Linked DNA regions of Danio rerio. The protein of the gene in region 2 interacts with the protein of the main gene of each other region in a pairwise test. Links are inferred from orthologs where the notes say so. Each region holds a gene or a part of one and is shown on either strand. Other genes may lie near its edges. The genes, in order: ccdc90b and tsc22d1.

Region 1 (16,472 bases), on a different chromosome or scaffold from region 2:
ATGAACGTACAAAGAAAAGTGTTCCTGATTCGAGACGACCAAAAAGGCCTCTTGAGGATAGACCTGCTGAAAAGAAAGATGGATCACTGCAAAGAATTTCTGCTGCAGAGCATAAAGATCTAAAAGATGGCAAGAGGTGGAGGAGTGGATGGGAAGAAAACAAACAGTATGTCATTTCAATTACTTGCACCTTTTGTCTTAATTATATTCAATTTGTAAACTCACTCAAATTCTCAACTTTGTTTTAGTCCTAAACACTCAGATACAGATCTGTCACATGGGCGAATGGGGATCCAGAAACACAAAACTTGGAACACTAATCAAAGACCACCCACACCTCGGACACCTAAGCAACATCGCTTAAGTGTTGATAGCAACATACAAATACCAGAAGCACTGCATTCTGCTAGTAAACGGGATCTTTTAAGAAAGGTGTGCTAACTTCCTCATGGTTTTGTAATGAATTTCTTTCTAATACATAGTTCCTTACAATATACATTTTTTATTTCAGGCTAGCAAAAGGCGTGCTGATGGCGAAATATCCAATGATGAATTTCTCAGCGTAGCTCATCAAATCAACCAACTTTTTCAATATCAAGAAGAAAGGCAACGATCAGATTCTTGGGATGAATCATGTGATGAGGGAGTGTATCCATCAAGAAAGAAACAAGAAACCATATCTGATGCTTACCTTGAGCATAAATTAAAGTTGAGAAGAACTCAGCTCCACCGTCCAGGTACAAATTTATTCACTTATAATGTTTGCATGTCCTTATCTATTGTGTAAATTGTCTGTACGTGTAAACAGGTGTTATTTTTAAGTTTCACCACTGCCAGTGATACACAAATATGCATTATGTTGTTGAAGTTGGTGTATTATAGGGGTGTAAACCTAAATTCTTTTCCTATCATGATTTGTCAATTTTCACAGTGCAAAGAGGGGGACATTTACCTTTGCATGAAATGTATCACTATCCGCCTCATCATGAAGTATCTGAACAATATAGTGAAAGCTTGGATGTGCATAAAATGTCAGGTGATCCCATAAAGCCACTCTCTGACCATGAAGATCACAGAAGAATTGACAGGCCTCCATCCTGCACAGGGTCTACTTTCAGAAATTCGCCAAGCCCAGTTGGCTTAGATGGTATCTGTGGAAAATCCACAGTACTTCCATTTGAACGGCCATCCTCACCATCTGAAATGGATCAACAACCTGAGGGAGACATCAGCCCACGTTTTGAAAGTCCCAACAGTGTGCACTCTGGCACAGGCCCAGATGATGGTCCAATTAGCGTTGAGGGTCTTCCCAGGCACGATCATTTCTTGGAACAAGGACGAAGTGGGCGAATCCATGGTGAATCACCTGGAAATACACCAAGTCACTCAGAAGGACCTACAACGCAGGTCAATGCAGCACGGCATGATGGACCAATTCATCAACGTTTTGATAGGTACAAAAATCCTCAGGCTCCCTTTGATGGACCATCTAGCCACATGAGAGAGCCAAGATTGGATGGACCTCCAAGACCATTTGTTCCACCTTCACGATATGAAAGCAATACAGGGGGATTTGATGGGTCAGGTGGACCTGTAAGGTTTTCCGGACACCGCTTTGATACCCCTCACCACTTTGAACAATTTCCCAAAGCACCTGAAAGACCTGTGAGATTTAACAACCCACAAGTTTCACATAGGCCAATGCGCTTCGTAGAGCCTCATAATGTTAGATTTGACTCCCCAACACCGGTTCATTATGATCACTCAATGCCCCAAAACAGATTTGTTAATCCACCAAGGTTCGATAACCCTCAAATGCAACAGGGCCCACCAGGATATGAGGAACCACATTTTCCAGCTAGGATAATTAATTATGATGAACAGCAGGGTCCAGTTAGATTTGATAACCCAACATGTGGGATTCGTTTTGAGAACCCTGTGCAGCCTGAACCCTTAAGGTTCGATGCACCACCTGTCATGCCAAGATATGACCCACAGGGCCCTCCAAGATACTGCGGTCCAAATATTCCAAACCAGCTAAGACCACAGGAACCAACAATGTATGATCAAACTCAAGGTCAAGGTCCAATGATAAACCCTACTGTACCCCCACCCAATTTCAACATGCCACCCATAAACTCATTTGGTGGTCCAGCCCAGCAGTTTTCCATGCAGCAAAATGTCTCGCAAACCTCCAACTTCAGTGTGCCAGTTCCTACATCATCAGATTTTCAGGGTTCATTTAGACCTCCATTCCCTGGTCCGGGTGTCGGAGGTGTTCCTCAGCCTGTAAGTACTGCCTCACTTATAAAAGTTGCAGAGTGTTTTGTATTGTTGTTTTCTAAAACAGACATTTAAAATTATATTTCAGATGATGGGTGCTCAAAACTTCATGCCCCAAAATCCAATGCCTTTTCAGCCAGGTAATAAATATCCTCTAAATCTGTTATCTGGTGATAACCTGAAAATCAATTATACACTACTGTTTGCTTCTTTGCTTTTGATTGTGAAATCTACTTTAGACCCTTAATGTATTAAGTGAATTGTTTGTTGTTTCAGTCTCCCAATTTCCACAGCCTGAGCCAGAGCCATTGAGACAAATAGATGTGAATGATCTGATGTCTAAGCTTATATCCACTGGAATTATTAAACCTGCACCTACAGACTCAACAGCTGGTATGCATACTTTGATATATTAAATGCTTTTCTGTATAAGAGTTATTGCAGTTTACTTTTATGTATCAAATAAACCAATTTCATGATTTAAAAAAATCTGTCTTAGACTCCCCATCAGCTAGTCAGACTATATCTGTGCCTGAAGAAGAGGAGGAGGAGGAGGAGCAAGAGCAAGAAGAAGATGACAGTGTCCCAGATTTGACTGGCTTTATTTTGGATGACATGAAACAGTAAGATACTCTGGAGACTTGTCAAAGCTAAGAGTAGTATATGTTATGTGAGTGTGGAAAAATTGCTGATGTTTTGAAAATTTTCTTTACCACAGGAGACACGAAAGCATTATCACTAAACTCTATACTGGAATCCAGTGCTATTCCTGTGGCATGCGTTTTACTGCATCTCAGACAGACGTGTATGCAGATCATTTGGACTGGCACTACAGACAGAACCGCTCAGAGAAAGACATCAGTAAGAAAGTCACGCATCGCCGCTGGTACTACAGTCTGACGGTAAATCGGTTTTATTTCATGTTTATCTTTTATTGGTCATAAATTGGCCTCTTGAAAATGGGGCCAGGGAACAAAGGTTTTTAACATTGGAAATTGTGTTTTAGGATTGGATTGAATTTGAGGAAATCGCTGACCTTGAAGAGAGGGCAAAAAGTCAGTTCTTTGAAAAAGTTCATGAAGAGGTTGTACAGAAAACTCAGGAGGCAGCCAAAGAAAGGGAGTTCCAGAGCGTGAAGGCTGCAGCGGATGTCGTTCATGAGGTAAGAGAACAAGCAATATGATTATTTTAAGTCTGAAAGTAAGTGCCTGTCAAATTAAAGACTTCACTCTTTCTTTACCTCAGTTGTGCGAGATTTGCCAGGAGCAGTTTGAGATGTACTGGGAGGAGGAAGAGGAAGAGTGGCACCTGAAGAATGCCATCAGAGTTGATGAAAAGGTGAGAAACACACTAATGAACAGAAAAACCCTTATTGATTTTTCTATATGATAGTATCTTAAATCTGCTTACATTCTGTTTTCTCTGCTTTTTTTAGACCTATCATCCCTCATGTTATGAAGACTACAAAAATGTAAGTCTTGATTTAAGTAGTTTGTGATGTTATGCAATTGCCTATTTTATTATACAAGTACCTACTTCAAAATTTTACCTGCACCCCAGTTCAAGTAGGAAAGTGTTCTTCATATTAAAATATTTTCTACAGTAAGGCCAAAATTTACACCTGAAGTAAAGATGCTGTTATTAATCTGATAACCACTGAAGTGGACAACTTAAAATGCATGTGAAAAATAGGATCGAAAAATTGAACTTCTCCATTTTCGAGTTCTTCCAAATGTAGTCAAAGGCTCTAATACACACTTGGTTTAAAGACTATTTTTCTTAATATAACCTCACATTAATTTATTTTTCTTAAATATTGGTGTACAACGTGTCCACCTTCAAGCACTTACAGGAGTTAAAAATGCCATTCTGTCATGTTCAAACAGACACTAAACATTACAAACTCTGCCAACTGACCTGGTTCATCAACATTTTTGCCTTCTGAAATTGCATGTTTGGTTTGGGTATTGTAAAAAGCACCACATTCTTTAACCAGTCCTTCTTTTTAACTTCAATCCACAGATTTTAGTGAAGTCTTATTTTGCAGGATTTGTTCGAAAGATCAGAAAAAATCTCTAGTGTCTGCTCATAGATTCTCCCAACACAGAAATCTAGAAAGTGGTCGAAAGTGGACAAAGTCAGATTAAAACAAATGTATTGTTGTAAAGGCATACAGATAATGATTGAAATAAAAGTTTTTATCTACATCTCACATTTTCAGGAGCTTTGTCTAGTTTACCCAACCTTTCTTTCACGTTACTGTAGAAACCCCTTTATTTACAAGTGTACGGAAATGTGTCTCATCAAAATGATAATTTTACTCACTGTGCACAAGACATTTAATAAATGTTGTTAACTAGACAGCCTAATAACCATTGACTTTCATGGAGGAGGTGAGGGGAATAAATGTTTAGAATCAGCTGTCCTGGAAATTCAGCATTTTTAAAAACAATTGTATGTGTCTTGTGTTTGTTCACCTTAAGAAAGACGCACACATAGATTTGGTACTGCATGAGTAAATGACAATTTTCGTTTAAGGGTGACATTTCTTTAATGTGCATCAATGTATAATATGAAGCTACATTTTGCTTTTGTAGAATTATGTAAAAAAAAAAATGTTGGAACATGTTTGAAATGCCTCCTTTTTTTGTTGTAGACATCCTCCTTTATGGACACCACACCCTCGCCCAATAAAATGCTTACAGAAAATCCCTTAACAGCTTTTTTGAAACAAGAGCAGGATGACGAGACGTCGTGTTCCAGTATTAAAGAAGAGCCCGCTGATGATGATACGGAGGCTCCAATGGTAAAAGAGGAGGTTCAGGTTAAGTTAGAAGGAGAATCACAAACCAGTGCAATTATTTTCTAACTATGCTGCTCTTTAGCCACTTCTTTTGGTGGTTATTTAACTGGTCCTTTGTGTTTTTGTAAAGAAGGATATTTTTATATTGCAGAGCTCTGGGGCCGGGACCTCAGCTAGTCACTTTAAATACATTTTTGTATTTGTATTTGCCTGCACATTTCAGGTATTTTTGCCATGTGAATGCCCAATGAAATGTACTGAAAAAGATGTGCGTTTGGGGTATATGTATATGTATAATTTAATTTATAAATAAAGATATTTTGGTATACTTTGTGTAGTATTGATAAAAAAAGGTTTAAAATGTTTGTTTTTGGTTCTGAATTTAAGATACTTGTTCTGATTTCTTTTGAAAATGGTCAACAGTGGTTGAATACTAATTTATGAATTACCTTCATGTCCTGTCTACAAAAAAAAAAAAAAAACGAGACTCTTTTCAGTCGTTTCTTTAATAATTCCTTAAATCCAATTTTGGGGCAGATTGTAAATTATTAATATTTGATGGTACATAGTTTACTATGAGCATTTCCCTGACCTCAGTTTGTAAATAGTTGTTAAGAGTTTACTGCTGTATTGCTTCAAAGTAATGCTTAGTTCAAAATGGAAATAAAATCAGGGTGGTTTCTTTTCTCTTTTTCGCAAAGGTTGAAAGGGCATTTTTTTTCTTTATGCAGAATATTCAATAAAAAATCTGAGTAAGAAATAGTGTCTTGTGTGAAAAGTGATTGTGTGCTTTTTGACTGATCTAAAAGTTGTCAGTTTTCTGCTGAATTTTAAATAAAGTTTCAGTTTAAATGGAAATGTTCTCTGCTTGTTTTCTGTTTTGTATTTTACATACCATAAAAATATATTTTTTTATCCTAATGAGAAATTTAATGCCTACCTCAGACTTTAAGTTCCGTGATTCAAGTTAAGTGAATTGACGACAACACAACTGATTCCGTTTCCAGATGAGGTTTAATAACCCTGTTTAAAAATACAAAATCACTTAATACTCGTGTAAAGTGGCATTCAAACATGCTCAAACTCAAAACATTTCAAGAAATGTTTTCTGAAAATTGTACAAGTATGTACTACACTTGCTTAAAAGAGGACTATTTGGACATACTTGATGTACTTTGAGCAATTGTTAGCAATAGCTTTAAAAAAATGATTATATACTCTAAAACGAGTTTGATTTTTTTGGCCCTTTAAAGTAAAATGTTTTTACACCTCAATTTTGTTGCTTACATGAAAAATGTTAACAAAAAGATAATAAAGTTACATGAGGTTTAGGTAAAACTTGAAATCTCTCCAGTTTTGTGAGCTTCATTTCCAGAAGCGATAGAATCCCAAGGCAATTGCCAAGCAGGTAAAGATGCATGCTGTGAAGCATAAAAATAAAATATCATTTAGTTAACAGATTTGTTTTTAGTACTTAATAAAATGTTAAATCAATATGTTATGAAGTTAATATTCTTATCTGAAAGAGTTTTTGAAAAGAATGGTGAGTCCATACCTGCAAGATATCTAACAGTCTCCAACTTGAGCGATTCCAGGAGTGTTTTCAAAGACGCTACTTGGATGTCTATTTTCTTTGACGTTTCAACTGCTTCACTTTCTATATCTGCATTCTGTTGAAAACGTAGGGTTAAAGTACTATTATGTTTCCATACCAATTTAAAGTAATCAAACGATTGCTTTTGTCTTACCATTTTTTGAAACTCCATTCTAACATCCATCAGTTTCTTCTCTTGTTCTGTAAACTAGAATAAAAGCCCTTTTAGTGACTGAAAGCATTATTTCCTAAACCGTTTAGAACGTTAAAATGCACTCTTACCATATCTGTAACTCTGCTTCTCTCCAGATTAATATCTAACTTTGCTTCAGCTCTTATTTTTTGGCTTTCTTCCTACAGTTTTAACAAAACATAATGATTAAATGAATCAGAAAATACTGAAATGCACACATTATCACTTTACTCACCAGCAGTCTGTTCGTTATTTGCTCCAGTTCAGTTTTCATTTTCTGAGTGTGAAATATTTGAAACATTAAATAATTAAGTTGATAAAAATGTTATGACAGTTTAATAAAATTTGGGTCTCCAAATTACAAAAAGTAGCTAGATTTTGAATGCAATACGAAAGTTAAACTAGTGTTACGTGTGAACAGGTTTCCCCCCCTCTATTTTGCATTTGTTCTAATTCTAAAACAATAAACAAATATGAAAGACAGGATTAAATGTCAATCTTACAGCATTTTCTGAACGTAAATTGGCAAATTCACTCTTCTCCAGGATAACCATGTCTTTCCTGATAGCATCGAGATGAGCCATGATTTGCTGTAAAGCGATTTCCTAACACAGAACAAATGAAGAAACCAATATCATTCAACTGGGTTCACGGAGACATTTTTGCTGACAGCAGTTTTGTTAACGCTTTACCTGATGTGCTCCAGTCACCATGTCTCTGTATACAATGTCAATATTGGCCGTAGTAAGAGTCACTAATGCTGTGACAATCAGCTCTGCTTGCCTCTTCTCGAAGCCTGGATTATGATGTTAAATAAAGGCCATTAAACATGCATTTAATTAAATATTAACTGTTTCCCTCACTGACAAAATCATTTGCTCTATTCGAGACCTAACAGCCAAGTTCTGGAGCAATGGTTTGGAAAAACCCCATTAATGTTTTTACAGTAAATTCTACAGAAATAAATTGTATATACTTGTGTTTAACTAATCCTTTTATATAAATGTTACATTTAACAACAACAAATATTTAATAAAAAAATGTACAAGAAACTATAATGGAAAAATTATATACATATACATACAAGCATGTACCATGCAAATTAGAAACATAATGGCAACAACTTTTCTTCTTCAAAGGAAGAGATGGAGATGCATGTCCAGGCTTTTATCTCTTCACGGTTGGATTTTTGTAATATTCTATTCACTTGTCTAAACAAATCTTCTATGGATCGATTGCAAGTTGTACAGAATGCAGCGGCGAGGCTTTTAACCAACACCAGTAGGAGGTCACACATTACTCCTCTGCCTAAGGCACTTCACTGGCTTCCTATTAGTTTTAGAGTAAATTATAAGATGCTGGTCATTACATACAGAGCTCTGTATGATCAAGCCCCCTACACATTTAAGATCTTTTACGTAGTCACTCATGTACCGGTCTCTGATGTGTTCTGGCAAAGACCTTTTAACCATTGATAGTACTCGCCTTTAAGACTAAAGGTGACATGCCTTCTGTGTTGTGGCCCCAAGGCTCTGGAACTCTCTCTTGGGATCAGCTTAAATTTTTAAAAAGCATTTAAAGACACATCCTTTTGGTCGAGCTTTAAATGAACAGTATTAGTGTTTCTGTACTTGAATTTTTAAATATGTTTTCTTTAATTGATGTGTTATTTTACCTGTTTCTGTTTTTTTCTTATTGTAAAGCACTTTGAGACTTAATGTCTGTAAAAGGTGCTATATAAATAAACCTTTATTTACTTTCTACTGAAAACTTCAGCCCAGTTTGCAGTAGTAATCTAACTGCTGTAGTAAACATAACTTACCGCTTGATTCCAGCTCTTTGACGAGCGCATGGGAGTCAAAGGTGAGTTTCCTTTGTTCCAGTGGTGTTAACTCCACCTTTCTCACGTCGTATGTTTTGACAGCATTTGTTTTATGCAATCCTAAAAGAAAAATACATCTCTAAACACTTAAGTGCACTATATAGATAGCGTACAGTATCCGCCGATCAACTCTTACCTCTCTGATGACACAGGGGCTGGATGTTGAGTTGATGAAGTTTTAACAGCGAGCAAAACTGCTGCTGTCTCCGCATAAAGATCCCCCAGGACGACATTGTTATATATAAAAGTTATATATTGCTACTATTTGATGTATTAGGTTATAAAATACTTGCTATGCGCCTTTAGTTTCTGTACTTTTTATCAGATTGCTCAACTAGAGTCCAGACCAGCTCTCGAGTGCGACTCTAGGGCGGATCGACCACTCCTTTCACGGTCAAATCGATTAGTTTTGTCTTAGGGTTTTTTTCTCTGTTTTTGTTCGTTTACTGTTTGGTTTCCTGTTCCAAATATGTAACTTTAGAGGATGTTTCGATAGATTGTATAGAAGGTGAGTTTTCACTGATGGACTGGTAAAGGTAACCAAAGGCAGTAGCATGATATAGTGACCCGGATGTTGTCATTGCAATGTTTACATTCCACCGAAATTTTAAGGTTAAAGGCATAATTCAAAAAAATAAAATAAATAATAATAATAATAATAAAATTTACACAGATTTTATACAAAAAAAATAAAAAATATATTTTTATTTGCCTTTCAAAAAATAAGGTAAAAATAGGCCAAACCTAATTCCGACTTAATTGAACTGACTGACATGTCAGATATACAATGAATCGAATAGAAGGCCATACAATTACACAAAACAAACAAACCAAATGTATAAAATAACTTAACAACAAAAAAAAAAAGAACAAGATATCGTGCTGACACCAAACAGAAACAAGGGGTTAAATAAAACCATATTCTTGAAACAAATCATTAGCCCTCTCACTCTTTATTATTGTAAATCCCCTACATAATTATTTTTTAAAGACAATCAACTGAGAAGCTGTTTTCAAATTTTTGCATTTACGAATGAAGAATTAAAGTAAAATAAGTAAACAATTTGCTGTTAAGTCATCATGTTGCACGTTGTTCACATGTGCTCCAAATTTGTTCCAAATAAAAGAAAACATTGAAATATATTGTTTTATAGTTTCCCACATCTTTAATGAACAAATGTCTTTACGAAACTCAAATAGGTTGATATTATTAAAAAAGTTCTGCTTATGTCTTATGTGAGCCGCCAAGCGCCCCTTAACGGAGAACAGTTTCATTGCAACACGGTAGTTCCACTCGAAGGCTGTATTTTTCCTTTCTCCAGCAGACTGTCATGGCGGCGTCCATGACTAACGACCAGAGCTGGTTTTTTGCTCTGGCACTCGGAGTTTCATTTCTGAAATGTCTCCTGATAAATGCATAGTAAGTGAAGTCATCTCACAACATGTACATTTTCTTTCATTTGATTAACACATTTAAAGTTGTGTTCAGTGTAGTAAGAATGAGGAAATAGCCAAGATTCATTCATTCTGTTCTCATTTACAGAAGTGGAAAACACTCACATAATGTAAAGCTGTTTTGTATAAAATTGTCATTTTTAAAACTTTTTTGTATTTCAGTCACTCTACGGATTTTGAAGTGCATAGGAACTGGCTCGCCCTGACTCACAGTCTGCCAGTCTCTCAGTGGTATTATGAGGTAGTCAGATTGCATGTTTTTTTTTTCTTATGCAAAATATCTTTCTTTCTTTCTACTATTAGTATTAATACTATTACGCTCACTTGCCACTTTATTAGGTACACCATGCTGTGACCAGTATGAACCATTTTGGTTTGCCTTCAGAGTTAACGTACTTTATGACGGATTTTAAGGTTCAGACAGGTGCTGGAAACATTTCCCTATGTTTACATGACAGCAACACACATATTTATCAACTTTATACTATTATTTTTTACAACAAATTCTGAACATACAAGTGAAACGTTTCTGCATAAAAAAGACTAATTTGACCATCAATTTGGTCTTTTCCCAGTCTATCATTGTTCTGTTTTAGTGAGCGCATGTAAACTGTGACCTCAGTTTATTTGTGTCCCTGCTGTGAACTTTTTCTGCTGCTGTAGCTCGTCTACTTCAAGGTTTGACATTTTGATTACAGATGCTGTTCTGCAGATGTTGGTTATTACCAGGCACTAGTGGTTTTTTGAGATACTTTTACTCTTCTGCCTGCTCGACCAATTTAGTCATTTTCCTCAAATATCTGGAGTTAATCAACATATCACACAGACACACTTTAGTTTTTTTCTATTAAGCAGTTTCTAAATACCAGCTTATCTGCATCCAACAACAATTCCCTACTCAAAACATTAGTTAAATCACAGCTCGTCTCCATTCTGATGCTCAGTTTAAAATTCAGTATATCATTTTGACCACATTTACATGCCTAAATGCATTAAATTGCTGCAATGTGATTGGCTGATATTTCGTTATATAGATATTTGTGTTGAACATAGTTGAATAGATGTACCTAATAAAGTGGCCATAAATAACAAACTAAATAAAACTAAGTCTTATTTTTGTGGTTTAATCTTTATTTTTACAGGCTACATCTGAGTGGACGTTGGATTATCCTCCTCTGTTTGCTTGGTTTGAATATGGACTTTCTCATATTGCCCGATTTTTTGATAAGGAGATGCTGGTTGTTGAAAATCTGAATTATGCAAGTCCAGCAACAGTCCTTTTTCAAAGGCTTTCAGTCATCGTGACCGATGCAGTCTTGTTTTATGCAGTTAAAGAGTATGTTCTGTCTACATGCTACACACTTAAGTATTATTACCTTTTCACAAACCACCATTTTCTTTTTTTATTAAAGGATATGGTAACATTGTAATGTAAGGTGATCTAGTTATACATGTTCCGTGCAGTTACTTTAGTAATTACAATGTATTATGCATAATTGCATGTAATTAAACCTAACCTAGATTCTAACAGCAACCATGTAGTAATTGCATGTAACTACTCAGTACTTAAATGAAAAAATAAAGTGTAACTATATCTCCTTAAATAAAGTCTAACAAAAGATTTTTTTTAAACAGACAATTTTAGAGATAGTTTACATTGAATTTTATTTGTTTTATTTTTGTAATATTTTAGATGTTGCAAATGTTTGCGAGAAGACAAAGGAAAAGACCTTCTGGGAAAGCCATCTTTCATCCTGACGGTGTTGTTGTTGTGGAACTTTGGTCTTCTAATTGTTGATCGTATCCTTTGAGACTTTGCTCATTAATGAGTTCAGTCATGCATTTCCTGCTGTGGCTCAGACCTGTCTTTTCTCTTACCTGAAATTAATTTCACTTGACTGATTTGCTGCAGATATTCATTTCCAGTATAACGGCTTCCTGTTTGGAGTTCTTCTCCTGTCAATAGCAAGGCATTTACAGGTATTGGCTGTATTTTTTTTTAATCAGTAAGCCTTCAAAATAGGAAAACTGAAGTTTGTTAAATACATTTTAAACACCATGTATTGTAATAAAACTTTATTTAAAATATTTGGAAAGTTTGCTTCAATAGGTTTTTTTTGTGTATGTTGACAGAACAGACACTTAGAGGGAGCCTTGCTGTTTTCAATACTTTTAAACTTGAAGCATATATATCTATACATTGCACCTGCATACGGTATCTTTCTGCTAAGATGTTTTTGTTTCACCCAGAGCAATCCAGGTAATTTATTTTATGCTTTTTCTCCATAATTAATAAAAGTAAATTAATAAAAAATGTTTATCATCATAAAAAAATATTTTTTTTTCCTAGATGGGTCTTTGTCATGGAGAAGTTTCAGTGTCTTGCGACTTGTAGCACTTGGAACTATTGTCTTGTCTACTTTTGCTGTGTCAATCGGACCCTTTCTTGCACTGGTTTGTTAATCACACACACACACACACACACACACACACACACACACACACACACACACACACACACACATACACACACACACACATATATATATATATATATATATATATATATATGTATATATGGGGTATAAATAATTTTGGGCTTGACTGTGTGTGTGTGTGTGGATATGAATGTATATATATATATATATTAGGGATGTAACGGTATCAGAATTTCACGGTACGGTAATACCTCGGTATCAATGTCACGGTACGGTATTTATTAAATCATTTACAGGAAAAAACAAAACTTATGAAAATACTCCAAAAAAGTGCCAAAAGTGTCAATGACATACAAATTAGCCATCTATCTGTAAGCTTTGAAACAGGAACTTCAATTTTAATAACAAAAAAAATATTAAACCATGTAAAAAAAAAATAAAGTTTTTAATTTAGTATTGTTGAAAACTCATTACATTCAACATTTAATCACTCACTCACTTAGATAGAGATGGGTTTAAAGGAAAATTATCATATAAATATAATCTGGTAAAAGCTGGTATCTGGGCATTTACAATGTCCCCTGCAACAGAAAAAAAACCCTCTCATTTGGGACTGATGTTTCTGGGACAAGAGAGATATGACTTATATGACTTATTTCTCGAGCGCCGAAAACGGAGCGTTTTGGAAACGCTGGACAGGCCGTTTCATTCTGAAACGCTGCTGCTCCGTCTCAGTGTGGATGGGGAAAGACGGAGACATCTGAAAACGTAGGCGGGGCTGCAAACGTTCGCCTATCTGATTGGGGCTTTTCCTCAATATTAAGTAGCCCACACACAGTTCAGTCTCGCATCCTCTTCTTGTAAGTTAAGACTTCGCAAGTTTGATCAAGGCTGCAGTCTCCCCCTTCTCAGTTTGATATGGAAAACATACCGAGGACACGCGTAAATCTTCAAAGGGAACAGTGTACTTTATAACTTCATTCACATCACCTTGGCTACGTTGTTTCACTTTCTCAACAATAAAATGTAAACATGATTTAAGGAACTGCCTATTTCCTTTTTAATATTAGAAAACTTAACAGACAGCAGAAATGTTGAGGCGCCGTGCTGCATATATGAGCGTCATCTTCACTGTGTGGATATTTATAACAAAACGGAGCCTATAACAACTGCCTCCTTTCAATTTCAGTGAAAATACGAAACGCACCCTCTCTTTTGCTGAATATCAGTTTTAATAATCGATAATTATAAAAGTATAGCATACAATAAGTTTATACATTGTAGGAAATAAAGGCAAGCGATCAGTCAATGTACCTGGATTAATCATTAACTTATCTTTGCGCTTAACCAAAACATGTTACCCGTGAACAAGTAACTTAATAGATTCCAATGACCAAAGTCAGGGAATTGGCCTATGTCATTAGATAAAGACAACAACATGAATGAAATATCACGTTTAGCAAATATAGTGAGATTAGATCCAGCGGGAGATGCTTGATGAGCAGTCCGACAAGCAGAGCTCTCATCTGGGTAAAAATGCTGGAGCGCTTGCCCGAGAGTGTCTGTGGTCACGTGATGTGCGTTTTCAGCGTTTTGGTGTGGACGGAGAGCTGTTCAGAAACGCTGGGAAAAACGCGAGTGTGGACGCGGATCGTTTTCATTCTACAACGCCGTTATAAAACTAAAACGCACTAGTGTAAACGGGGCCTTAGAGTTTTACAGCTCTTTTTGATCCCCGCTTCTAGCAGCACACTCCATTTCCGCATTACTGGATCTGTAGCGACAACAGACCGCAGGGGATGATGGGAATTGTAGTTTTCGCTACCTCCCGTTCGCTTCATTCGCCTGAGCAAATTTTCTCAGAAGACCTATAGTTTTACCGAGTCATGCGACTTCGGTAATATCGAAAAAAATTAATATTACGGTATTTACAATACCGTTACATCCCTAATATATATATATATATATATATATATATATATATATATGTGTATATGTGTGTGTGTGTGTTTTCCCATTTAATTATTTAGCTAGTTAATTTGTTAAAATAAAAGTTATGTATAATTACTAATTATTTTAAAAGGTATTTGAAATTGTATATTATATTATAAATGTTATTGGTTAGACTTTATTTTGATGGTCCATTTGAGTATCAGTAGACTGTCTGTTTAATACCTCCTGATACTAAGTCTTCAACAGACTTTTAACTGACTATGAGAAACTTTACACCTCCACCTAACAGTCTACTTATAATCTAGTGAGAATTAGTTGGCAATGTAACTTAAATCCAGCAAACGGACCATCAAAATAAAGTGTAACTGCGATATTTAAAAAATAATTTATAGTTACTAAACCTTTTTTTTGTGGAATAAAGGGTTCTGTGTTTGTTAATGGTTAAATTTTAATCTTTCTATTTTCTGTAATTTCTTATTAATAAAGATAGCAACTGTATAAAAAATAGCAAAAATATAAAGATGTTAATTTGCCTAGAGTGAATCTAAATAACAGTAAACATTGACACTCAGGAATAGTTTGCTTCTGTCATGACAGAAATTAATTTGAAATAATAAAACTTTTTATTTTAAATTTGTAATAAGTGACAATATCATAGAGTGTGGTGTTATTTATAATCAAACAACTAAAGCCTTGATGAGCATAAAATATTTCAGTAACGCTTTACAATAAGGTTGTATTAGTCAATGTTAGTTAATGTATTTACTAACATAAACAATTCACAATGCATTCATTACAGTATTAATTCATGTTAGATAACATTAGTTAATGAAAATGTTGTAGTTCATTGTTAGTTCCTGTTAACTCATGGGGCATTAACTAATGCTAATAAGCATGATTTGAACTATGATTAATACATGCTGTTCTTAGTAAATACATTAACTAACATTAACTAATGACATCTTATTGTAAAGTGTGACCAAGATTTCTTTCAAAATCTTATAAACCTTACAAAATCTCATCAAGTTATCAGTATTTTTAAGTTTTCTATTTGTCACAGTTACTCACTTATTCATTTTTATCTACCTAGGGTCAGCTTCCGCAGGTCCTATCAAGACTCTTCCCTTTCAAGCGCGGTCTGTGTCATGCATACTGGGCACCAAACATCTGGGCACTTTACAACATAGCAGATAAAGCTTTATCCATCCTTGGTATGTTCAGTAATTGTGGGTTTACTGTAAAACCACATAAACAGTATATAGAATCAGCTAATTGTATTACGTATTATTGTATTATTGATATGTAATATCACATATTATAAATGTCTTGCCACTTTTTTAACACTGATCAGTACTAATTCATTTATCCAGGTGTGAAATTCAAACTGCTCGACATGAACAAACTTCCTAAAGCCTCAATGACTGGTGGTTTGGTTCAGGAGTTTCAGCACTCTGTTCTTCCCTCCGTCTCTCCTTTAGCAACACTCATTTGCACATTGCTGTCAATATTGGTGAGCACTTCTGAATCTTTTATTTGATTGTCATAATTTAATATTTGCACATCTAGATTTGTGACACTTGTTGCAAAGTACAAGTATATAAAATGTTGCAGTTTTTGAGTCAGAATAATAGATTTTTATTTCATGCATGACATTTTTACAATATTAAAATCATGTTCCATGCAGATATGTTGTACATTTCCCACTGCAAATATATATCCACCGCACATACACAAGTGTAATTATGTTCATTATTATTAGCAACCTGTACATATATTCATTCATTCATTGTAAATCACTGATCATTGTTAATACAACCTGCATATAATGTTCATAGTAAATCCATCTGTAAATATTACCTAATAGTTTTTCT
Region 2 (15,967 bases):
ACCACAGAGAGTCAGGACCTCAGTTTAACATCTCATCCGAAAGACAGTGCTCACTGACCAGTATAGAGTTCTCTTCACTGTACTGGGGCGGTAGGAACCCACACAGACCACAGGTTGATATAGGGGCAAGAGCTGCTGGTTTTAAAACCTTAACTGATCTCTAAACTTAATATTAACCAGCTATTCATTTATATGCTTTCATTTCTATATATTTTGTATATACAATAATTTACTGACTGACGAAAAAAAAATCTGTATACATACAGCAACCAAACAACCTAACATTAACCAAAATAAAAACACAGCTAAAATAATAAAAAAGTGGCAGGTAGAAAGAATTTGAAATCATTAAAATAGGGGATATAATAATATAATTTATCAGCAAGATATTGGCCTTATTTTGTTATCCAACCAATAATAATTACATAAAAAAAAGCATTTATCAACCAATATCGATACAGTCGTATATATCGGCCATCCTTAGCTTTAGCAAATGCAATTATGCCGTTTTTAACGTGAGATTTATTTTAAACTTTAATATTTAATAAAACAATATCTGTCAGGCGATTGTAAGCAGCAGCAAAGCATTTGTTATCACCTACAGAAACAATATGAAAGTTTAGCAGATTTGAAACCTAAAAAGAGTCGAGGTAAGCGCAAATGCCTGTTGTCAATGTGTTTGAGAAACCAGTTCAGCTGAGCTCATGAGGTCTCTGCCCCTATTAGCTTTCAGTCCCTAAAGTACTTTGCTGTGCTTTTCTGCTCTCAGGTTTGGAAAGACAGGTTCTAATCCAAATGACATCATCCTAAAAGAGAGAGAGACATGTGTACAAAGAGTCTCGTCTTTAAAAAAAAAAAAAAAATCCTTCAAAAGTACAGGATCTGTTCTTGGATTACATCAGCAGAGTGACCCTTCTGATGCCGGGTAATAATATGGCAAAAAAACACATTAAAGGGAAAGCTGGCCTTAAGATTTAAATTGACATTTACATTATACCCAATGAGTGATTTCAACCCATATTATTATTACCTATCCTTGAAAAAAAAAAATGTCTTGTTTATTAAAAAAAGAGAGAGAAATGCTTTAAATAATCAAGCAAGCAAGTAAATAAGTACAAATAAAATAAGTAAACTATTAAAATAATAACAAAACAAGCAAAAAAATAAATAAAGTCAATTTTAAATAAGAAAAAAATAAATAAAATAAGCAGGAAATGAAAAGTAAAAAAATAAATACATACAAATAATACAACAGTCAAAATAATGTAAGCAATAAATAAAAAATATATAAATAAAACAAACATAAAAATAAAATAAGGAGGAAAAGAAAATGTAAAACATTAAATAAGTAAAAATAAAGTAAAAAAATAAAAGTAAAATAAAAAAAATTTTAAAATGTAAAAAATTTAAGCAAAAATTCTAATAAATTAAATAAGCAAAAGAAAATAAGTAAAACAAAAATAAGTACAAAAATTAAAGTAAAAAAGTAAAAATAAAAAGTACAATGAATAAATGATTTTAAAATAATAATAATAATCAAAAACAAAATAATGGCAAAAATAGTAAAACAAACGAGTAAAAGTAAAATAAGTAAAAACTTTAATAAAATAATTTAAAAAGCTAGTAGTTAACAAAATAAGTACAAATATTAAAAAATATAAATATGTTAATGGTTTAGGCTCTGCACTCCAAATCTCCTGCTTCAAGTTCAGCCCCGTTATCTGCTCTGGCCCGATCAGGCCGAGTGAAAGCATTTCCTCTTCTCTCCCATTCCACAGGGTCATTAATTGGAGAGATAATCTACTTGATCTCTACACAATGAGTGATTCATTGAGACTCTCATGTGTAGCTTTTATCACTGCCAAGAGCAGATTACAATGAAGAAAAAAGAAAAAGTAAACGGAAGCGTATAATTTTATATACGAGGCTGCTAGTCAACACTGTGAGCTAAGAACAGTATATAAAAAAAACAAATAATTTGCACTGACTTAATCTGTTATTGAGCAAGAGCAATAATAGGAAAATACATGATCTCATCCTGTGTAAGTGGCATTACAGCAAAACAGCAGCAGCTGACAGCGTTTCACAACAGAGAAATCAAACTAAACAGGTTAATATCAAATTGTTTTCTCATTGAGCTTTTTTATCGGTTTTATTTTCAAATGGTCACCTCTCCTGCAGGTAGTCCTTCATCCAAACACAATCAAACCAAATATAAAACCAGTCAATATGGACAGCAAGGATATGCACAACACGACTAGAAGGCCATAAAATCCCCATAAGACAACTAACAGAGGAAGATGGACATCAACAGATGTGCAACTCTGCCACACGATCACGACCCAACTCAAAAAGGACAGTGTCAAGCTGCTAATAATTACATTCAAGAGAAAAACATAACAACTGATTACTTAAATATATATTTATATAGAGTGTCAATCTTTTGCCTTAAGATTAAATTGACTTTAAATTAGAAAAAAAAAAAAAAAATGTTTTAACTGTACCTGTTGTAACTTCTAACTGTTAAATTGATTTAGTTTTAATTAAGGTTGTCTTGATACTGGGATTCAGTACCGAGCAGTACTGAAGTTTTAAAATAGTCCATTTCCAGGAAATATTTGAACGCTGTTAAGCACATTTTTAAACACATGAACACAATGGCCAACCAGCAGTGAAGGTCATCAGTTCACCTGACTTACTGCTGTTTACTGAGTCACAAAGCGAAGTTTCAAAGTCACATCAATCAGCTGGTTTGTCTATAAGCTGGCATGCAAACGATCCGCCGATGAATTGCAGCTTTAAAACACTCTCTGTATCTGTGTTTACACTTGGTAAACAGCTGTGATTTTGGTGAACTGATGATCTTCATGGCCAATCACAGTCATTTCTGTTGAGCACATGAACACGATGGCAAATCAGTGGTGTTCAACAGCAAATATTAGCGAAAAACGGGCGTTTTTAAATTCCAGTATCGATTGGTTCTGAATTCCAGTATCATAACAACATAATCATTTAATAATTATGTATAGTGCTGCACATTTACTTGATTAAGGCAACAGATTTACTCCCTTTTACCTTTAAGTAAAGTCAAATAATTGTTTTAAAATAAATGGTGTTACTCCCTTTCATTAACTAAAGTCAACTAATCACTTTTTTACACTTAAAAAGATCGTTCACACTGTAAATAAACAAACTCAACTTAAAATTAAGGCAACTTGCAGCACAGCTTTTTTTAGTTGATTCAACTTAAAAAAAAGTCAACTACAGTATTTTGGTTGAAAGATGAATCAATTCAAAAAAGCTGTGCAAGCAAGTTGCCTTACAACTTTAAGTAGAGTTTTTTTTTTTTTTACAGAGCACCCAAAAATTAACTTCTGTCATCATTTACTCTTCATTTGTTCCAATTAGGGCCATGCAATTAATTGAAATCGAATCGCAATCACGATTTGCTAATGGCAAGATGCAGCAATATGAAATATATATATTATTTTATTTCCCCCTCCCAGAGCAAATGCGTGCTGCCATCTGTGTGTGTCTTATTAGGCAAACGAGTGAGCACACTTTCGTTCTGCCCAATCAGAAATGTACAACCGAACTATGCGGAACAATAAGAAACTAATTTTAATGGCATATTATATAGATGTAACAATTACTTTATCATATCTGTGAACACATTTGAACTTTCTCAGAAAGATACATGAGCTATCAAAAGGGCAGTGTCATTTCAGAAGTTCAGAAAGGGACCACATTGATACTTTAAACATACATATTAGTTCCTAAAGAGTACTAAAGTGTATTTTTAAAAAGGTAACTTGACCCTTCAGACGAAGGCTGTTTAATTAACAAAGTCTATAATAGGAGTGACTGAATCCTTCATTCAAACAGAACTTTTAGAAAAACATTTAACTTAACATTTAACTTAACATTTAAATGAGACATCTTTTTTTATGGACTACAGCAATTGTTAGCAGAATCTAGAATAAATTATGCTATTTTGCTGTTGTTTTTTCATTGTGCTATAATTTAAGAAAATGTATTATATTCATAATTGATTATGGTACTGTCTGCATTCGTTCTGAAAGCCATGAGAAACTAAACATACACTGAGCATAACTAGAAGTCAACCAACGCTTTTTGGCCAACAATAAGTGATGATTCACAATTTATAAGACCATCAAATGCACCAAGACAGATCCAATAACCTCAGACACTCTATGGTTGAGCATAGAGCGGCACAAAATATCATTTCAGCATCGATATCACAATGTGCACATCTACAAGTCACATCGGAGGAAGTGTAAAGTTGAGTTTATATGTTGGGATTATAGTTTACCAGAAGCCACAGCTCAGAACACAGAAGATTTTTAGAAGAGTCACTAAAGAGTTTAACCATATTGAAGTAAAAATGTGTAATTTGCTTGTGTTTTAAGGCCAGTGACTGTGTAAGTGTTCAGGCACAAGAGTTTAAGGGTGCTTTCACACCTGTAGATCGATTCTTTAGTTCCAAAACAGGGATTAAAATAGTTATAATGCTGCACTTTGCTGTGTGAAAGAGAACCGCACCAAGAACTAGGCATGGGACGACAACGGTGTTCAAGGTATGCCGCAGTTTGGAAAAGTCAAGGTTTTAAAACAATAAAAATTTTCTGCTATATCGTTCCTAAGGTACAAGTAAGATTTTTTTATTTACATTTTTTTTTTGATTTTAAGGATAACAGTATCTCTAGCAGAAAATATATCAAAAGATGCCATTTTAAATTGTAAAAAGAAAATCTGTGTTTTTGAAACCTATAAAGACAGCAGAAGTCAATGATCAATTCACATGATTTAGTCTGACATGTTTACTGCTCTAAAACATTTTAAATAAATTAAATGTAATATAAATTAAAATATATTGTGTACAAAGGGGGAAAAAATAGTTTTTTACTCAGACATTTAAAAATAATTTATTTTAGAGCAGTAATCTCAATACTGTGATACTGGGAAACCGTGATATTTATGTCCAAGCTCATCATAGCGTCAGAATCTTATACCGGCCCATGCCTACCAAAAACAAAGTTTCTAAACTGACCAAAAGAGCTAATACAAGTTACGTGCAAGAAAACTCTCCCCACATTGGTCAAAGTTTAAGGGTTTATTTTGCAGAGTCTCGCTCAGCTGTCATGCGTCCTGACGATGAGCAGTAAGACATTATAAGCGAAAAGCTGAGCTTTAATTTTGAATGGTGACACCCACAGACATCGTCACCAAATATAAATCAGAGAGGTAAGACTTCATACATAACCGTTAGCTAGAATTATGCAAAATAAGCTTTACATTATGGGGAGAAATAACAGATAAACCAAGACTGCTGTTCGGTCAATTTTGATTACTGATAAACAGCTCTCCATAATAATTCAGTCGCATTTAACAGCATGGTTCATTAGTTTGTTGAATCTTTTTCACACTGCAATCGATCCGCTTCAGAGTTTGTTTCAATCGAGCCGAGACCACCTCATTCAGGCAATCTCAGACCGATTTCTTTGGCATGGATCCGAGCACGATTGCTGGATTCACATCTGCCAAACGAATCATGCAAACTGGTGGAAACACGCAAGATTCCGAAACAAAAGTCCAGGTATGAAAGTATTGAGGCACATGAAATCCTATCGTTTGTAACTTTAATAAAGATGTATTTATTAAATATTTTGTACAGTGAATACTATACAGTCTTATTTCACATTTGATTATTCAATTTAAGTAACTGAATACTGTGATAAAGAAAATGTCACTTCGTCTAGAATAATGCAGAATAATCCCAGACTCAATAATCAGTCTAAATTAATGAATTCTTTCCAGCTATCAATTAAAACGGTATATTGCAGCAAAACAAAGTATCATGCAGCCATAGCTGAGCAGACAGACAACATTTTAGAGACTATAAAAAAAGACGATAAAAATCTTCAAGTAAAATCATGACTAACACCTGAGAGAAACAAGCAGTGCCACATTAATGCACGCAGTGTGACAAATCTGTTTCATTAAGGAGTGTTAGATTACAGAGTAACTCTGTCATCTCTAGGACATCTGTTAGACAAGCTCCGTCAAGCACAGAAAACTTTACTTTTGATCGACTCATAAACAAAGTGCGCATCAGCATGCTGCATGACTATGAACAGCTTTAGATAAATGCAAACATATGTCACACTGTCTTAGTTACCAGAAGTATGTTTGACAGTGTGTATATATTCATTCCAACCTGCATGACTAGCTATGACATTATAATTAGAGCTTGCCTTGTTGGTAAAATATTAGGCCTTGCAATGAAATGCAAAAGAAATGTACACGATTGAAGCTTACTACAGCTTTTGACTTTTTAAAAGGCTCTGAAAAACTATTGATGAAGTGAGAAAATATTTACAGGTATTTTAATCAGCTGAGGTTGAATAAAAAGCTAACATTGCTGTATGTCTGCACTAAACGTAGACATCTTAAGAGTTTAAACAGACACAGATCTTTTGAGTGTAACTGCTACAGCTTTCAGCAAACACGTCAGAAGTAATAATCATTCAAAGAAAGCATCTGCTGCAAGCTCAATAATATCCAGGATTAAAATCCAAAATTTAAGTCCAAGCAACTTCATCTTGATTGTCACCTTAATTCTAGTGCTCATAAAATCATAAGATTCAGTTTTAGCTGACACACATTTACATTTAGACAGTTAACTATCTAGGGCTGCACAATACTAGAAATAAACTAACTTGGGCTGCACAATATAGGAAACATTTTGCATTGCAATACATTTATTCTCTCTGCGATATATATTGCGATAGAAATAAAAATTCACCAGATGACTTGAATAGCTCTATAAGTAAAGTCATCAATTTAGATTGATTGGGATGATTTTGTAGGGGAGAAAAATTTAAATATACCTTATGTAATTTATTATATATGAATGATAAACAAACTAGAGTCAGAAATAAACACAAATGGAGCTAATGTTAAAGTGAAAAATAGTGCTGGTTTTCTGGGGAGAGTCTAACAGCATTCGGGAACAGAAATTGAATAATCAAAGGTAAAATAATATTGCATAGTCTTTATTACATGAATTTATTCATTAATTTTCTTTTCGGCTTAGTCCCTTTATTAATCCGGGGTCGCCGCAGCGAAATGAACCCCCAACTTATCCAGCACATGTTTTATGCTGCGGATGCCCTTCCAGCTGCAACCCATCACTGGGAAACACCCATCCACACTCATTTTCATCATATAAATTATTCAACACAATTAATCTTCATTAAACTTCTTTATGCACTATTAAAAATCTCTTCAATGCCACAAGCCTTAAAAAGAGAAGCAGAAGATAAGCCTTCACTCTATTATTGTTAAATTCTGCAGTGTCAAATTGTGCAGCTCTAAAACTGACATTGTGATATTTCATTTCTCTGCGATATAAATAGAATTTTTCACTGGATGATTCAAACAGCTATTTGGAAATAATTCAGAACCTTACATTGACTAAGGCCCCGTTTACACTAATGCGTTTTTGTTTTAAAACGCATAAGTTTTGCTACGGTTACGCCATCCGTCCACACTACGCCGGAGTTCTCGAGCGCCGAAAACGGAGCGTTTTAAAAACGCTGAAGACCGTTTTCATTCTGAAACGCTGCTGCTCCGTCTTAGTGTGGATGAGGAAAAACGGAGACATCTGAAAACGGAGGCGGGACTGCTGAGATTTACTACCTGATTGGGGCTTTTGTGTCATTGCCTTCGTCACTGTATCCTTCCCATAATCGTCAAGCCTCATCACATGACTATAACACATGGCTTTAAGCGGAAGACAGTACTGTAAACAACAACATGGGCACAAAAATAGGAACGTTGTTTGCACTATTGTCTGTTTTAGGCGCCATTGTGCAGTTATTCATTTGTTACGTTTAGTAACAACTCGACATTGTCGTCTGTCCACAAAAATACCTCTCTTGCTTTCTTTGCCATCACGTTTAATGTTCAAGCGGCATTTGTTGACTAACAATAACCAAATGCCGAGCGAGACGCATGATTTCTGTTTATACTAGAAAGCGCATGCCTAGAGTGCGCGAATGATCACGTGATATAAGTTTTGGGTGGTGTGGTGTGGACGGAGATATGTCCAGAGACGCTAGGTAAAACGGTAAAGTGGACGCGGATCGTTATTGATCTAAAACGCTGTTTTAAAACTAAAACGCACTAGTGTAAACGGGGCCTAAGATGATTTTGTCGGAAAGCATATCTACATAACAGGGCTGCACAATATATCAGTGTTGAAGGTAATGATTAATTAAATATCTCATTACTTCATCGTAAATGGAGTAAGTTCACAGTACTCATATAGATTAGTTTAACTCGATTGATTTGTAGCAATCGGTTTCCTCAAATGCTTTAAGTTGCCTTAACTTATTGAATTTTAAAGTGTATGTAAAATGCATTTGGCATTCAAGTTTGCTTTGAACTTGAAAGAGAGCGAGAAAAAGATTTTACCCTGTCAGCGTGTGCACATGGCTCCTGAATAGCAAAAAAGTAAGCTAAATAGTAGATTTTTTTTCCAACAGTCTTTCTTATTTTAACCAATTTAAAAAAAAAAAAGTGTAAAATAATCTCATAAATAAAATTATTGTTAAAAATTTAATTATGTTTTGTTTGTCACTCATTAAATATTTATTTGATGTGGGTAAAAGGTGTGTTTCAATCCGGTGACCAGCGCAAGTATATTTCAAACCTGTGGGAAGCACTGTATACAATTAATGTTTAAGCTACAAATAACTACCTGATTTACTGTCACAAGCCTGAAAAACACACACAAATAAAAACTCACTCTAAGTTTAAACTTTGCATTGACTCCACTGTAGTGTCTGGTCAACTATAATCCCAGTTCAACATTGCACATCCTGCAGTGTGAATATTGCAGAGTCACATGTTGCAAAATCTATGCTGAAACAATATATTGTACAGGCCAACTTTCTAGAATGAAAAAGTCCCTATCAGTAACACCCACACACACACACACACACACACACACACACACACACACACACACACACACACACACACACACACACACATCCGACTAGCATTAAAAAAAAGTCTGAGGCTGTGAGGTAAACAAAAGACTACAGGCTCAACTTCCTGTCTCAATAGGAAATGTCAAGTTCATAAATACTGCACTATCAAGTGATTTCATGTGTGCCTTTTTCCCCCCAAGCAGACCGAAATTCTTGTTAGGTGAAAGCATAATCTTTCTGTCTGTAATACCAAAGATACAGTCTAGCAGTCTACAGTTTTAGGTTACAAAAAAAGCTATGCTTGCGATTTTAGCTATGCTGTGGAAAGCCATCGCCCTGCTGTGATATTCACTGCACACTACAATTTGTTGATAGCAGTTGATTAAAGCATAATGCTGATCACCATGCTGAGCTGCATGTGTGATTTTTTTAATAAAGCTGAAATAATTACAAACTAAATTGAACTGAAATAAGCAATGCAATTAAAAAAAACAAGCAGTGGAACTTACCCATCCTCCTCTCCATCAACAGGTAAACTCTTCAGCAGGCTGGCCGAGGCGGATAAGGCATTGACTCCACTGCTTCCCTCTGGACCACGAGAGGTACCGGTTTGGGAGGCACTTTCACCACCGGCTGGCTTGGTTTGTGCGAGCAGAGCCTGGTGCTGTAACAGAAGTAGCTGGGCATCCTCCAGCGGCATCACCGAGGGCCGGGTGCTAACAGCAGGTTGCGGCCCAGTCTCCTTTGAGCCGTTCTGAAACAAACTGGACTGGGGATCACTTTGAATGTTAGGAGGCACGCTTGATGAGGTCACGGCTGGGACGAACTGGGTGCCACGGGCTTGACTGCCGAGCTGTGACTGCTGCTGCTGCTCCATGGAGGGTTGTGAGGTGAGCTGCTGGCCTGGTGTCTGCTGTATAAGAGTGGTGCCAGTGGACTGCACCAGCTGCGGCACAACCTGGACCATCTGCGGGGCGGGTGTCTGTTGTGGCTGCAGGAGCCCTTGCGGAAGTGGCTGAGCAGTAGGGGGCTGCGAGGAGGGTGTGATCATCTGACCATTACCAGCGAGAGCCACAGGAGGGATGGAGGCGGACAGGTGGGGCAGAGTTTTTGTTGACCCAGGTGGCACAGTGCTCAGGATCTGCTTGGATTGGGAGAAGTCAGATGGCAGGCTGCCTCCCTGGCTTAAGGGGTTAACATGTGTTGGTGCTACCTGGGCTGGTGCAGCTGGCTGCTGTGCGGGCGGATAGCCCATCTGCTGCTGGGTCACCACAGGCAGAGCTTGAGCAGGAGGGGATTGGGCTGCTTGGGCATATGTCAGTTTGGGCATATGAGAGGGTAGAGGTGCAGACGATTGAACAATCGTGGTCTGCAATCCTCCGATAGATGCAGGCGGTTGCTGCTGAATGTTTGCTGTTGCCGGCATCGGAGCTGCTGCATTCGTTTTAAGATGCACTTGAACTAAGTCTTGGGGTTGCATCTGAGACATGGGCTGCTGGAAGGTCTGCTTCACAGTAGAGGGGCCGCCCGTTTCACCGCTGCCCAGACTTTCAGTGTAATGGCTAGCTGAGCTGCTGACAGAGCTCCCGCTGACTGTGTCTCGGTCCTGTCCCGCCACACTTTCAGGCACACACTGACGGATACTTTCCACTGTTCGGGTGCTAGGGGCATTTTCAGAGGATGCCACATTTGGGGCTTCCTTATCATAGTACTCTGTACAAGTCCATCTACCCTTCTTAAAAGGCTCAGAGGTAGAGTCCAATTTGACCACTCTGAAACGTGAACTGGTGGAGGCAGGAGTAGGCACTTGGGCCTGCTGAGGCTGAGCGCTCATCACTGGGACAGAGGGTGCAGGCATTGCATGCTGCCCCATGACAGCTGGCCCCATTTGCCCTCCACCTGTTGACGCAACACTACCGGAAACCGTGGCAGCAGCGGTGATGCCCATGCCGATTATTCCACTGGGAACGTGGGTCAAGTTTGGGGTTTGGTTACTAATACTATTCAAAGCAGAGGAGTAGTTTACACTGCTACTATTGGTAGTCTTGCCACCCACAACAGGCACACTGGCAGAGTTTAACACGGAAACATTATTAGTTAAAGTATTACCAGTACTAATCGTGGCACCTGAAGTCACAGAAATCACTCCAGTTCCAGAGGCGAGAGTAGCCAAAGGCTGTCCGATGGCACTAGTTGTGCCAACAGAGGCATTCTCAATCAATCCCACCACATTTGAAGGCATTTTCTGGCCTGTGCTAGCCGAACTTGAGGTCACCACAGATGTGACCGGGGCACCCAAAGGTACCCCAATCAGTGTCCCTCCAGCAGGATGGGTTTTTCCAGAGGAAACAGGATTATGATGGTGATGATGGTGGTGGTGGTGATGGTGGTGGTGAACAGTTCCGTTAACCATGGTGCCATGCAGGTGTGCTTGGGTTATAATGGGTGGCTGGTTGGGTGACAGGGCACCAGGGGTCTCCGCCTCATGAAAATTATTCAGCGTCTCCTCAGAGGAGCTTCTTTCAGGACCTCCTGAATTGTTGGCCCGTGGAAGAGACACATCCATGATTTCAGAGGATGACAAGTCCTCTGTGTGGGACTCATCCAGGTCGTCACAACTCTCTGTGTCTTCTGTAATGCTGTTGTTGGTGCTCACAGATGTCTGCGCCGGGGTGACGCTGGTGATCTGGAAGCCACTCTTCTTCTTCATCTGTGCAACTGCAGTGGGCAACGTTTGGGGTAACATGGGTGTCTGCAAGGGGATACTCAGGCTATGCGGAGGGTTCTGGGGCCCGAGCGAGGACGCAGTCTGCGTTTGAGACTGAATCAGCACTGGTGGGGAATATTCATCCGCCAGCATCAAGTTGTTGCTATTAAGGCTGGTGCTTGCTGAAGTTGTCAATGTAGAGGAACCACCTACTGTGCTGCTGCTGTTCTCCCGTCTGGGTAAACTCATGGGGTAAACCATTTTTCGGGCGCTGCCGGAGTCTCCGGATCGTTCGTGGTGATTCATTGCTGGAGTATAGTCTCTGACAAAGTTATAAACGCAGCTCAAGAGAACAAGCTCTTTTGGGAAAGCAACTTCAAGCCGTTCGAGTAATTTCCACATAAAACCAACACGTTCTTCTAACTGCCACAATAATTCCACTTGAGGTGTATTTAAATGTCCACCATGAGGAGCAGGCTAATGCCAATGCTAAGTTAACAGTCGCTAGCGAGCTAGCCGACACGGATTCGCTTCGGCTGTTGTTTTCAAAGGTATATCCTCACTAAATCACTCAGCACACCATATCGGTGAAGTTTAAGCGTGCAGGAGTCGACACAGACGGCCGAGGCGATTAATATCCAACCTTATAACGACACGGTTTCTCCCCATCACAGTTCAAACTGCCAGGCGCATTTTCAATTGTTGTATCGCAGTCACCAGAGCACGAAATCACACGAAACTAAGTCCTCCAGCCGGCGTCAGATGACAGAGAGAAAGCGAGCAACTCAGCGCTGTCCTGCTTTATTCCATCCCGTGCTTTCTTTTGTTTTATTCCTGTGTTAGCGCAATGTCTCTCTCCCACTCTGCTCCTATTCACCAGCTGCCTCCTTGTAATGTAGCCTGTGCTAGTGCTATGAGCCTGTGACGAGTCCCCGAAAAGGGGAGGAGAGCGCGATAACATGGCGACCGCGCATGGCAGTTCACGTCCACCCGGCCAGACATAAAGCCCAGAGAGTCTGGCGAGGATGGGCGGAGGCGAGGAGGGAGGGGGGTTTCCAGGAGACGGTCGACGAAGAGTTCCGAAGAGGCCCGAGTGGAGCCGAGTGCGACCAACTGTGTTGGTTGAGGGGTGTTTCTTATTATAGCCTTCGGTAACTGTGGCAGCAAACACTCAGAATAACATCTTTTGTCCGCCGTGGTTATTATTATTTGACATTGAAGGAGAGACGAAAAAGGCAGGGCATAGATTTCTGGTTCCCAGTTTTAAATGTATAAAATTTTATATTTATAAAAATCGACTTCAGATTTAATTTTGAACATAAATTAATTATAAAATATAACCTACTACAGATTAAACATATGAACGATTAAGCAAAACGCTATTTTAAGTTAGCTGCTATTGTGTGTGTTGGCCTATACAGGCCAGCTACATCAACAAGATGCAAACAGACCTTGTGACAACAATGTTGTCAACATAGTCCAGAGATTTGTTCTGTTTTTACAAAACAACTCGTCTGAAAGAGAACCCAGATATTTCCACAGACAGAAAAGAGCAACCAAACACATCTGCACTGACACAGTTTTTTTTTTTCACACAATCTGATTGTTGCTGTTTGGGGAGCAGAGAACTAAAGTTCTAGGTGCAGCAGACACAAAAAAAAAACATTCAGCTGTTTTACTTTAACATGAATAATATCCAAAATGTGAACTCAAAATATATGCTTTGTTTCAGACAAGCTACACTATAATACAACAGGAATTTATTACATGTGTGCTGATCCAACTATATTTAGCTTTCAGCTGTGATTGTGAGAATACCATCTTTGTTGTCTGGAACAAGTTTCGCATTATAAACCTCAGATATTTATACCCACACTGATTATTTATACATTCTACCAGAAACTTATACAATCTGTCTCTGAAATAAAAAGATAAATGCAGTGAATAAAAACTTCTTCATCCCAACAATTTCTAAAATGGATTGATAGTGGATTTTTGTGAGTTGTTCAGGAAAGGAATTTGTCTGACAAATCATTTGGTTCTTAGATTTTTGTTCTCAGATTTTTTTATTTTTGTTTACAAACCCAGTCATTGTGTCATATGTGAAAATGTAATAGAATATGTGAAAATTTAATATATAATACATTTTCTAAATGACAATATTCTTATTTGTAATTCTGAAAACACCTTATCAGAGTACTATTTTTTCTTCTACAACACAAATGAACATTTAACACAAACGGACCTACTAATGGCAAATCCAGAGAACAGATAATGATTTTAAAGACTCTTGTTAATTTTTTGAGCATCTATGTGTAAAAATGCTTGTTATATGTAAAAATATTCTGTTTTGTGGGCTAAGCTCAGGCCCACAGCAAGCCTGGTGAAAGTGGTGGTTCTCAAAAAGTGAACCTTTTTATAGTTGTACATCTACATTTTCTTTCCCAGAGGTGAGTTGCAGCTGAAAGGGCATCCGCTGCGTAAAAACTTGCTGGATAAGTTGGCGGTTAATTCCGCTGTGGCGACTCCGGATTAATAAAGGGACTAAGCTGACAAGAAAATGAATGAATAAATGAATCTACATTTTCTATTTAATTATGAGATTTAAATACATTTTAAGCATTCATTTAGCTGGATTGGCTAGTCGGATTAGCTTGAAATATGAAAAAAATACTTATTTTTTAAAATACAAATTTATTACATTTATATATCATTATGGAAAAAATAATCTGTTTTAAATTAAAAACAAGCCTATTGTCATTTATTTGGCAAAATATAAATAACAAACTGTTCAGCACATTTAACGTTCCTCTTTAAAAAATTTGACCATTTGAATAATAATAATAATAATAATAATAATAATAATAATAATAATAATAATAATAATAATAATAATAATAATAATGATAATAATAACAACAATAATATAGAGCTTCACAATGTTTCTAGTCTCTCTTGTAAAACATGTAATTTGATGGGTTTTTCGATAGGTTATTTTCACTATTTATGATGGCATATGAGTAAAAATAGGACAAATGAGCTAATGTATGAAAAAAAATTCTGGACCTTTGTCAGTGAGGGATGGGTCTTTGAACGACCTGAAGCCCCTCTCTGGCTATGGTCCTGTGGCTAATAGTATGCAGATCTCATAAACAGACAGCTCTCAAAATGACAGGGCACCAAATGTCTTACACATATCTTGTGAATTATTACATCAAACTGGCAATTTTTGAGTTGCTTTTATAAAGAACTGACAACATGCGCCTAAATGTAAAATGACCCAAGTGCAGTGATCATGTATACATTTTATATATATATATATATATATATATATATATATATATATATATATATATATATATATATATATATATATATATATATATATATATATATATATATATATATATGTGTGTATACATGATCACTGCACTTGGGTCATTTTACATTTAGGCGCATATATATATATATATATAAAACAGATTAAAATGATAGTTCATAAAAAATGAAAATTCGGTCATCATTTACTCACCCTTTACTTGTTTCAAATCAGTTTGAGTTTCATTCTTCTTTCTTTAAAATAGGATATTTTGAAGAAAGCTGGAAACCTGTAACCATTTACTTCCATAGTATTTATTTTACCCACTATTGACCGATTTTCAGCTTTCTTCAAAATATCTTATTTTGTGTTCAACAGTAGAAAGAAACTCAGGTCTGAAACCTGTTAAGCGTAAGTAAATAGTAATTGTCCATTTTTATGTGAACTACCCCTTTAAGTATGAAGAAATGTGGTCCCAAAATGAGCATGTGCCCTGATGTCCAGACCAAGCAGACAGGCTATGCCCGTCCATACAAATTTGAGAGGGAGAGAGCCAGCGAGAGCTGATTGCAATGTAAGCGTCTGGTGCTGTCAGCAGCTTTAAATCACACTGGCACTCCACAACAAAAAACACAGAGAGCTATTGTGCTCGTGGACAATAATGGTCAATTTATACACAGGAGTCTGCTTTCATTTTGTAAACACTTATTAAAACGGGTATCTTTGGTGATATGGTGAAAAAAAATAGAGATCCTGTATGAGAATTGCCATTGTTCTGTGTAATTTAACTCCGAAATGAAAGCTTATCCCTCTGGAGTATATGCCAGTGTTGGGAAAGGGTGACCGAGGTTTACTTTACCAAGCCTGCTGATCGTTTCAGTACAACTTTAGTAGTTTGGGTGGTAGAAAATGGCCCATTTT

What was found.
Region 1: the proteins of tsc22d1 (region 2) and ccdc90b interact in a two-hybrid assay, tested with the Homo sapiens proteins (2 studies listed by BioGRID and IntAct). The link is inferred for Danio rerio from reciprocal best matches to the Homo sapiens genes TSC22D1 and CCDC90B.

What each region holds. Positions count from the first base shown.
Region 1 is NC_133196.1:24,341,415-24,357,886, forward strand, and holds ccdc90b (coiled-coil domain-containing protein 90B, mitochondrial), read right to left. Parts: upstream 9,314-16,472; 5' UTR 8,989-9,313; coding exon 8,892-8,988; intron 8,816-8,891; coding exon 8,696-8,815; intron 7,670-8,695; coding exon 7,566-7,669; intron 7,479-7,565; coding exon 7,377-7,478; intron 7,151-7,376; coding exon 7,109-7,150; intron 7,035-7,108; coding exon 6,963-7,034; intron 6,889-6,962; coding exon 6,835-6,888; intron 6,757-6,834; coding exon 6,642-6,756; intron 6,508-6,641; coding exon 6,452-6,507; 3' UTR 6,082-6,451; downstream 1-6,081. Other genes in the region: alg8 (dolichyl pyrophosphate Glc1Man9GlcNAc2 alpha-1,3-glucosyltransferase), read left to right, coding at 10,087-10,175, 10,373-10,451, 11,353-11,546, 11,904-12,010, 12,123-12,190, 12,344-12,470, 12,561-12,664, 15,692-15,812 and 1 more.
Region 2 is NC_133184.1:20,406,273-20,422,239, forward strand, and holds the start of tsc22d1 (TSC22 domain family protein 1), read right to left. Parts: upstream 12,681-15,967; 5' UTR 12,130-12,680; coding exon 9,530-12,129; intron 1-9,529. UniProt on the Homo sapiens protein: Transcriptional repressor. Acts on the C-type natriuretic peptide (CNP) promoter. Acts to promote CASP3-mediated apoptosis.